Linked DNA regions of Daphnia pulex. The protein of the gene in region 2 binds, or shares a complex with, the protein of the main gene of each other region. Links are inferred from orthologs where the notes say so. Each region holds a gene or a part of one and is shown on either strand. Other genes may lie near its edges.

Region 1 (3,756 bases), about 310 kb from region 2:
ACCACCACTCCCCGCACTTTCCGGAGGTCGATTCGAATGTGAAGGAGGATGACCACTGTTCGAAGATGGACGGTGGCCAGCAGGAACGCTGGCCGTCGAACTAGAAGGAGGGACGAGGGCGCCAGTCTTGTCTCTTCTTTGGTCATGTGGCCGAGGAACTCTCTCGCCTGTAACACATGCTCAAATCAAGCATTTATCTCAACCAATTTAACTTTTCAATCGTTACCTGGTTTGGGAGCAGCGCTTCCGCTGCTGCTTCCGGAAGATTCATTCCTGACCTTGTGAGCATCTGGATGGCTTGATGACGCGTCTTTGCTACTACTACCGGATGCACTCTTGTCCGACGATGTCATGGCAGAAGCATTGACTCCAGGTTGTTGCATCACTCGTTTCCGCAGTCTCGACGGGCATTTATTGAAAATCGCCAGAAATTCAACGGTCAATTCGTCCAACATTTCTAACGTCACCGTTTTGTCAACGTACGTAAACCAATCTTTACCCTCGGCACTCTGTGGGATCTACGGTGTTCAATTGTAAGAGTTGTTAACGAGGCAGTTAGATAACATTTTGAATTGTGCAATTTTGTTATTACCTCAAAGTTGAACCATTTGCACACCAGGTGGATGCAAACACAGGCCACTACAGTGGGCTTGTACTGGAGGCACATGGTGGTCAGGTGCAAACTACCACAACATGACACCTCTAGTTACTCCAGGAACAACACAAGTTGGGCATTTACAAAATTATAGTTACCTATTAGTGGCCATGAAGTAGGAGGTCTGAGCCATGTCCTTGCTTGAAGATGCTAAGAAACGAAAGCCAAAGAATGACATTACAGTTAAGCGACTAGGGCTTTTGAGCTTGAGCGAAAAAACCTACCTCTAAATAGATGCTGACAACACTTGAGCACTTGTGTGTGAGGGTGGTCAATGGCGACATCAAAGCCAAGAGTCTGGAGAAGGATATTTTCATTGTTTATCAGCTCTTGAGCTTGTTCAATGTATTGCTGGAAGATAACGTAAACAAAACAATGAATGAATATGATGTTTGAATGTACAATGGTTTGTATGAGAATTTGATACCTCAGAGTTGATGTCCAAGTTTCGCTGATCCTTGTAGAGAATCATGTGTGCAACCCTAATGACATGTTCCAACTTTCTGGGCTGTTCCTCAACTTTGGCGGCTAGGAAGAGAGCACAGGAAGAGATTGGATTTCGATGGAACTTGTTGAAGGAATGGAACATGTAGAACCGGTGCACATAGACGATGGCTGTGTTGATGCACAGTTGTGTCCTAAAAAACAGAGAAACCAGTGTGATTTGACTCCATACCTTTTGTTGCAAGCGATAAATCGATGTCAGAAATGTTCAAGCACGCATCATTATGGTTAAAATCCAAAATACGACCAATGTGTGATAACGTAAGAATGTGTTCGGGGTGCGAAGAGAACAACTTCCGACTTGAAACACTTACACTTGTAATCTTTGACCCATTTCTTGAATTAATGTTGCCGCCTGTTGCCGGTAAAAGATTTCCTTGTCGTAGTCGATGTTGCATCTTCGGGAAGGAGTATTTTGTAATTGTTCTTTTGTAAAAACCCACTTACCCTCCATCGAGGCAGCCATATTTTATACACACTATTTTCTAGACCTCGAAAACGACCGCTATCGGCACCACGCTAAAAGCTTTTCCCGCCAGCCGCTAGAGTCCACCCTTGTCGACGCACTCCTATTAGGTTACTCGGAATGGCGAAACGATGCAAAATAACACTGCACAAACACGTAAACATGATAACTCCAATTCCGCATAGCTCTCCTTGAACTCATTTACCACTCAATTGTGCCAGATGTGTAGGAAAATTGCAGAGTAAGAACTATCGACAGTGCCCTCAAAACGTCCCGCGTATTTTACCCACGTCTTCTGCGATGGCGCTGACTCTGCAGACCGTTACGTACTATACTCTGGGGCTTGAAGGCTACCAAAAAATGATGTAACAGTTGGAGGCTGTCACGCACTATTCGAGGCTATCCGGAAAAGAAAAAGCTCACGTACTCAATGACCCTACCCCCAATTTAATTCGTTTACCCCTTTAAGTGACAGTAGATTTTTATCCTGTCATCTTTTCCAACACTCTACAAAACTGATTTCCGGTACATCCACATTCATGTGGATGCCTTTCATTCACCAATGTCCCTGAAGACTCGGCACACGTTCATTGCCCTCATTTCCAAGAGCCTTCCAAAACTAGACACGTTTTTTCCCATCAAGACAACGTCGCCATACGTCTTTTTTTCTCTCTCTCTTACATAATTTTACGTCGTCTTAAATAAATAAACTTTAAACAGTTCTTTATCTTTTATCTACACTGCGTATGTGTGTGAACATTCTGGGAGAACTGTATTTTTTTTGTTGTAGTTTTTTCAGGAAGAAAAAAAAAACATGAATGCCAAGAGTGGGGAGGAGGAGAAACGAGAGAGAAATAGTATGATATTTATACATTGATGAGGAGACGTGGACCAAGACGGAAAAGAACAGCATGAAAGAAATTCAATCCACATAAGAAGGGGAAAAAAAAAATATGAACTTGGTTAAATATTTATAATCAGTTGTTCGACGGGAGTCGTTTGTCCTCTCCCTGTTCATAATTTCGAACGATATAAAGAGTTGAAACTAAGTGACAAAAGAACCCATGCAGAAAGAGCCCCAGAATTAATTGTTACTCTTTTCTTTCCCGCAATTCGATCCGAAATTCTGTTTTTTTTGTGTTGTTGTTTTTGGAGGAAAAAAAAAGATAATAAAAAGGGGGAGCAGGTGTAAACATGGAAACAGAATTGGATGTGTGACTTTGACAATTATATAGCACGGGAAACAAAAAAAAATAATAATCATAAAAAAAAACACACATTTGGGGGAGGAGTAAACGGATAAAGGTTGCGCCAACAGATCGGTGTGACAAGACAACCAAACATAATCATCCATTTTTTTTGTTTGTTTTTTCAATTCCTTGCGCGACTATTTACAGCAAATATTGTGAATCACGTTACAATGACCTTTTACTTTCTTTCTCTCTCTCATTCTTTCTATGTATAAATTCTATCACACATACTCAGTCTTTTTCTTCCGTGTATGTACTCGAAGAGCTAAAAAAAAAAAAATTAAATCAACCGCCATCTTGTTACTACGATTAAGGAAGTTAACTATTTTTTTGTTTTTGTTTTTGCTTGTTTACGACATACTACGTAGTTCTGTGAAAGAAGGGAATTTATATTGGGGGGGAATTAGCAATTCGCTTCTACGAAATTTGTTGTTTTGGAGAGTGACGATGTTGGTTATCTTTTCTTGCTCCTGGGAGCGCTACCCTGGCTTCCTTCCCATTCGGGATCGTTGGGATCCTCGTCGTCGACGTCCAGATCGTCGGCGCCAGGTGAGCTCGTCGATTCAGAGACAAAAGTAACAGCTTCGTCGTCCACAGAAGACGTCGTGGTCGTCGGTGTGGCTCCTGAAGGTATAACGACCGGCACTCCTCCTCCAACACCGCCGGCAGCAACCCCGCCACATTCCGATGATCGAGCTTCTCGTTTGCCTGCACGTTGGACCGCCCCTTCCGAAGATGCCAACTCATCGTCTTCCTCCGGGGGCATCTCCTCAACCAGCTGCTCGAAAACGCTGTCCGGTAGAGGGAAGAGGCGAGGTTCGTAAGGAGCCACTGTGTAAAACTGCTGATAGGAGAGAAGAAAACAACATTTTAGATAAAAG
Region 2 (3,400 bases):
GCTTGGCGTCAATGTTGGCCGACTGGGTGCCGGCTTGTGGTTGATGCCGAAATTTGGACGAGATATAGCGGATCAGATTGAGCGTGTCCTTGTACATGGTAAAAGCTGCTTTCTCCGTCATCCGGTCATGCTCCATGGCATTGCCCGTCAGGATAAAAAACAACACTGCTTCCAAATATTGTACTGCTTGGAGGGTCCGGTCCGTTTGCTGTCGAATGACAAAAGAAAACGGCGATATGAGCAAATGACCAATGGAAAATGAGGGGAATCAAGGAAATGATGGAATATTACCTGCTTGTCAGCCGCGTGCTTGAGAGCTTTAGCTTCGCTTAAGAAATGATTATGATCACGATCTTCGTGTTCCAATTGATGTGCTGGTGGTTCCTCAAAATAACTGAAATACACAATGCTGGTTCCCGGCTGCGTTTGTTGTTGGCTGCGCATCATGGGCGGAGGAGCTGGTGATGCATTTCTCGGATCGTAAGGAGACAGACAAGACTTGACATCAACGGACGGAATGTGTGTGGGTGTAGGAACGACCGGAGCGAGAGGGCCAGCCTCGTCCTCCTCCTTTACTTCAACGTCGATTTTCCGCCTACTCTTCTTCTTTTGAGCCTTGCCCGTTTGAGTCTCGATTGATTCCTCCACCTCGTTCTTCCGTTTCCGTTTGCTCTCCTTACGATGTGACGGCGTTTCCACCGGCGGCACGACTGAGACGGACGAAGTTGAACTGATGCTTGATCGACGTTTGGAAGATTTCGACGCCGACAATTCCGCCTCACGTTTAATAGGCACTGGCGTTCGGGTTTTGGTCTCCACAGGTCGCTCCGCATTCTTCTCCTGCGTAGTAGGACGAGCCGCAGGGATAGGAGCAGCAGGAGCAGGAACAGCATTATTAGCCAATTTGCATAGAGGTACTTGGCAGATCAAACTAGGCCGGCCGTTGACGTATGGGACGGATGGGCCAACTTTAGCAGGTGGTGGTGGAGGAGGTGCCGCAACCGCTTTCGGGCTGGCTGTCACCACCTCGCTAGCAACTTTCTTGGGCTCCTGTTTACCTTTGACGCCTCTGCTGCTGTTACTACTGGGAGTTGTCGCTGCCTCGGGAGCGACTGCACGATCCTGCCTTCCTTTAGCTCCGGGACGATAGATTTTCATAAATAAAGCACACTTGCGATCAGAGCTGGGCTTCGAGTCCATGTCCAGTTTGGGTGGACTGAAATCCTTTTGCAATTCTTCCTCTCTCGGTCCTCTCGGTTGGCCCTTGCCACCTCCACTAGGTATTGACCGCCCGCTACTGCTGCTGCTGCTGCTCGAACTGCTGCTAGAGCTGCTGGAACTGCTGCTTCGACTGCTGCTAGAGCTGCTGCTACTCCGGCTCCGGCTGCGAGATGGAAAAAGGACTCGGCTGGTCACCGTTTCCGGTGGAGTCGGCATCTTGACAACGGCGGCCAATTTAGATGGACTTTGAGAGTGGGTATTGGTTTTGCGCGGAGTTGTCGGTGGCGTGACCGTCACAGAAAGGCTGGGCTTCCTCGCCTTCAGAGGTGACGGCGTGTTCTCCACATCCACTTCACTGTTGGATGGCGATGACGAACTGCTCACCGAAGATGTTGTCGTGTCGAGAATTTCACGTGATATCGGTGCCTGCAAGCTACTCGCTTGTTTCTTTGGTGGTCGGCCTGGCCGTTTGGAAACTTCTTTACCAGAAGGAGGTGCGGATGAGTTGACTTGCTTCTTAGGAGGGCGGCCAGGACCTCTCCGTTTGGGAATAGCCTCTGTTGGCGCTGCTGGAGCTGGTGGCGGTGCTGGTGGTGGAGCGGCTACCACTACTGGCTGTCGTGGCCGCACTTCCGGCACCGGGCGCTCATCTTCACTGCTACTACTCTCCGATTCAGATAACCGATTCAAGTTCACTTTGGCAGAATTTTGAGGCTGTTTCACTCTTCGATTGGCGGAGGCTTTGGAAGCAGACGAAGGCAAGTTAGGCCTGGGCGTGACGTGATCCTCCGAGTCGGACATTTCCGACAACAGAGGTTCGGGCACGATCATTTTCGACAAGGCAGAATTGAGGTCCGGCTGCTCGGAGTCACTATCTGAAGTCGCTTTAGCGATGGACGATGTTGCCGCGCTCTTGTCCCCTTTGAAGAGGCCATCGTCCAGTTCAGACGAAGGATTGGGACTGTCAAATCTAAGGCCAGCTGAACTGCCAAAGAAATCGTCGTCGTCATCATCCGGACGACGAAGAGAGTCGCCCAGTGTATCTCTGCGATCCGAGGAGATTTGATCAAGGCCTGATTGAGAGACGTCCGAACCTCTAGTAGCGCCCTCAAATATACTGCTGGGTGGATTGATTGGCAGAAACGACTTTAGACTCCAACTTGGAGTATTGGCCGGCTGCTGTTGCTGCTGCTGGATAAGGAAAAGAAAAATATGTAAATAAAACATGTGGCATCCTGCTAGATCAATATCGATCTTGTTGGTTGATCGGTCGGTGGGTCACGCAATGGCAAAGTTCCTGGTCACCGCATTATAAAACCTGTTTTACCTGTTTAGGAGGAGATGCAGGCGGAGGTTTCGTCTCCGGCTCCAAGTGCTCAGCGTCAGAGCTGGAATCCGAGCTGGAACCGTCCGATTCTGAGCTAGAATCATCTTCTGAGTCATCAGCCTCACTAGCAGCGGCTGTAGCAAGACCAGAAGGTGGCGAACGAGGCCTTGGCGGACTGTTCATCGGTTCCATGGGACTGGAAGGCAGTGGGCTAAGAACTGGGGCAGTAGAGGTGGTGGCGGCGGCCGAGATCTTGATGGAGGATTCCGACTCAGAGTCCTGGTCGCTGTCTGAGATGCTTAAATCATCCATCAGCCCGCTGTTGGAAGGCATCCGCTTCGGAGGTGGATGAGGATGACCGAAATCAAAGTGCTCCACTTCCTTCCGCGGAGTGGCAGCGATGGCCGTTAGCGGCGTCATAGCTGCCGATTTCATCTCTTTGAGGATGTCGTGGATATCTGGATGACCAATCCTTTCCGGTGTTGAGGATGGAGGGAGAGGATTGATGAAGTTCAACTTTGGTGGTTGAGGCCGCATGTTGTTAGTTGGCTGACGCTGCCTCTGCGATGAGGAGGTAGACATGGACGAGGATGATGACGATGAGGACGAAGACGAAGATGATGACGACGACGACGATGATGATGCACCGCTGTGATATCCTCCACCAGGCCCTGGTCCGGGAGCCTTGTGTAGACCCGTACTATTACTACTACTGCTGCTGGATCGGCTCGGCGGAGCCGAATTCCTTTGAGGAGCGATATGCGGTGCAGCATGAGACGGAGGCTTCATTAGACTGCCGCCCGATGAAGGGAGCCGTTGGTGAGAGTGGCCCTGACCCAGACCCGAGGACGG

What was found. Proteins that work in one complex are often made in the same cells at the same time.
Region 1: AF4/FMR2 family member lilli-like (region 2) and cyclin-T2-like share a complex: the UniProt entries of both Drosophila melanogaster proteins name them as parts of the super elongation complex. The link is inferred for Daphnia pulex from reciprocal best matches to the Drosophila melanogaster genes lilli and CycT.

Annotation. Positions count from the first base shown.
Region 1 is NC_060024.1:8,843,174-8,846,929, reverse strand, and holds the start of cyclin-T2-like, read right to left. Parts: upstream 2,213-3,756; 5' UTR 1,626-2,212; coding exon 1,474-1,625; intron 1,294-1,473; coding exon 1,083-1,293; intron 1,007-1,082; coding exon 880-1,006; intron 806-879; coding exon 754-805; intron 684-753; coding exon 593-683; intron 519-592; coding exon 227-518; intron 168-226; coding exon 1-167. Other genes in the region: KAT8 regulatory NSL complex subunit 1-like, read right to left, coding at 3,330-3,719. UniProt on the Drosophila melanogaster protein: Regulatory subunit of the cyclin-dependent kinase pair (CDK9/cyclin T) complex, also called positive transcription elongation factor B (P-TEFb), which is proposed to facilitate the transition from abortive to production elongation by phosphorylating the CTD (carboxy-terminal domain) of the large subunit of RNA polymerase II (RNAP II).
Region 2 is NC_060024.1:9,152,793-9,156,192, reverse strand, and holds part of AF4/FMR2 family member lilli-like, read right to left. Parts: coding exon 2,549-3,400; intron 2,413-2,548; coding exon 292-2,412; intron 209-291; coding exon 1-208. UniProt on the Drosophila melanogaster protein: Has a role in transcriptional regulation. Acts in parallel with the Ras/MAPK and the PI3K/PKB pathways in the control of cell identity and cellular growth.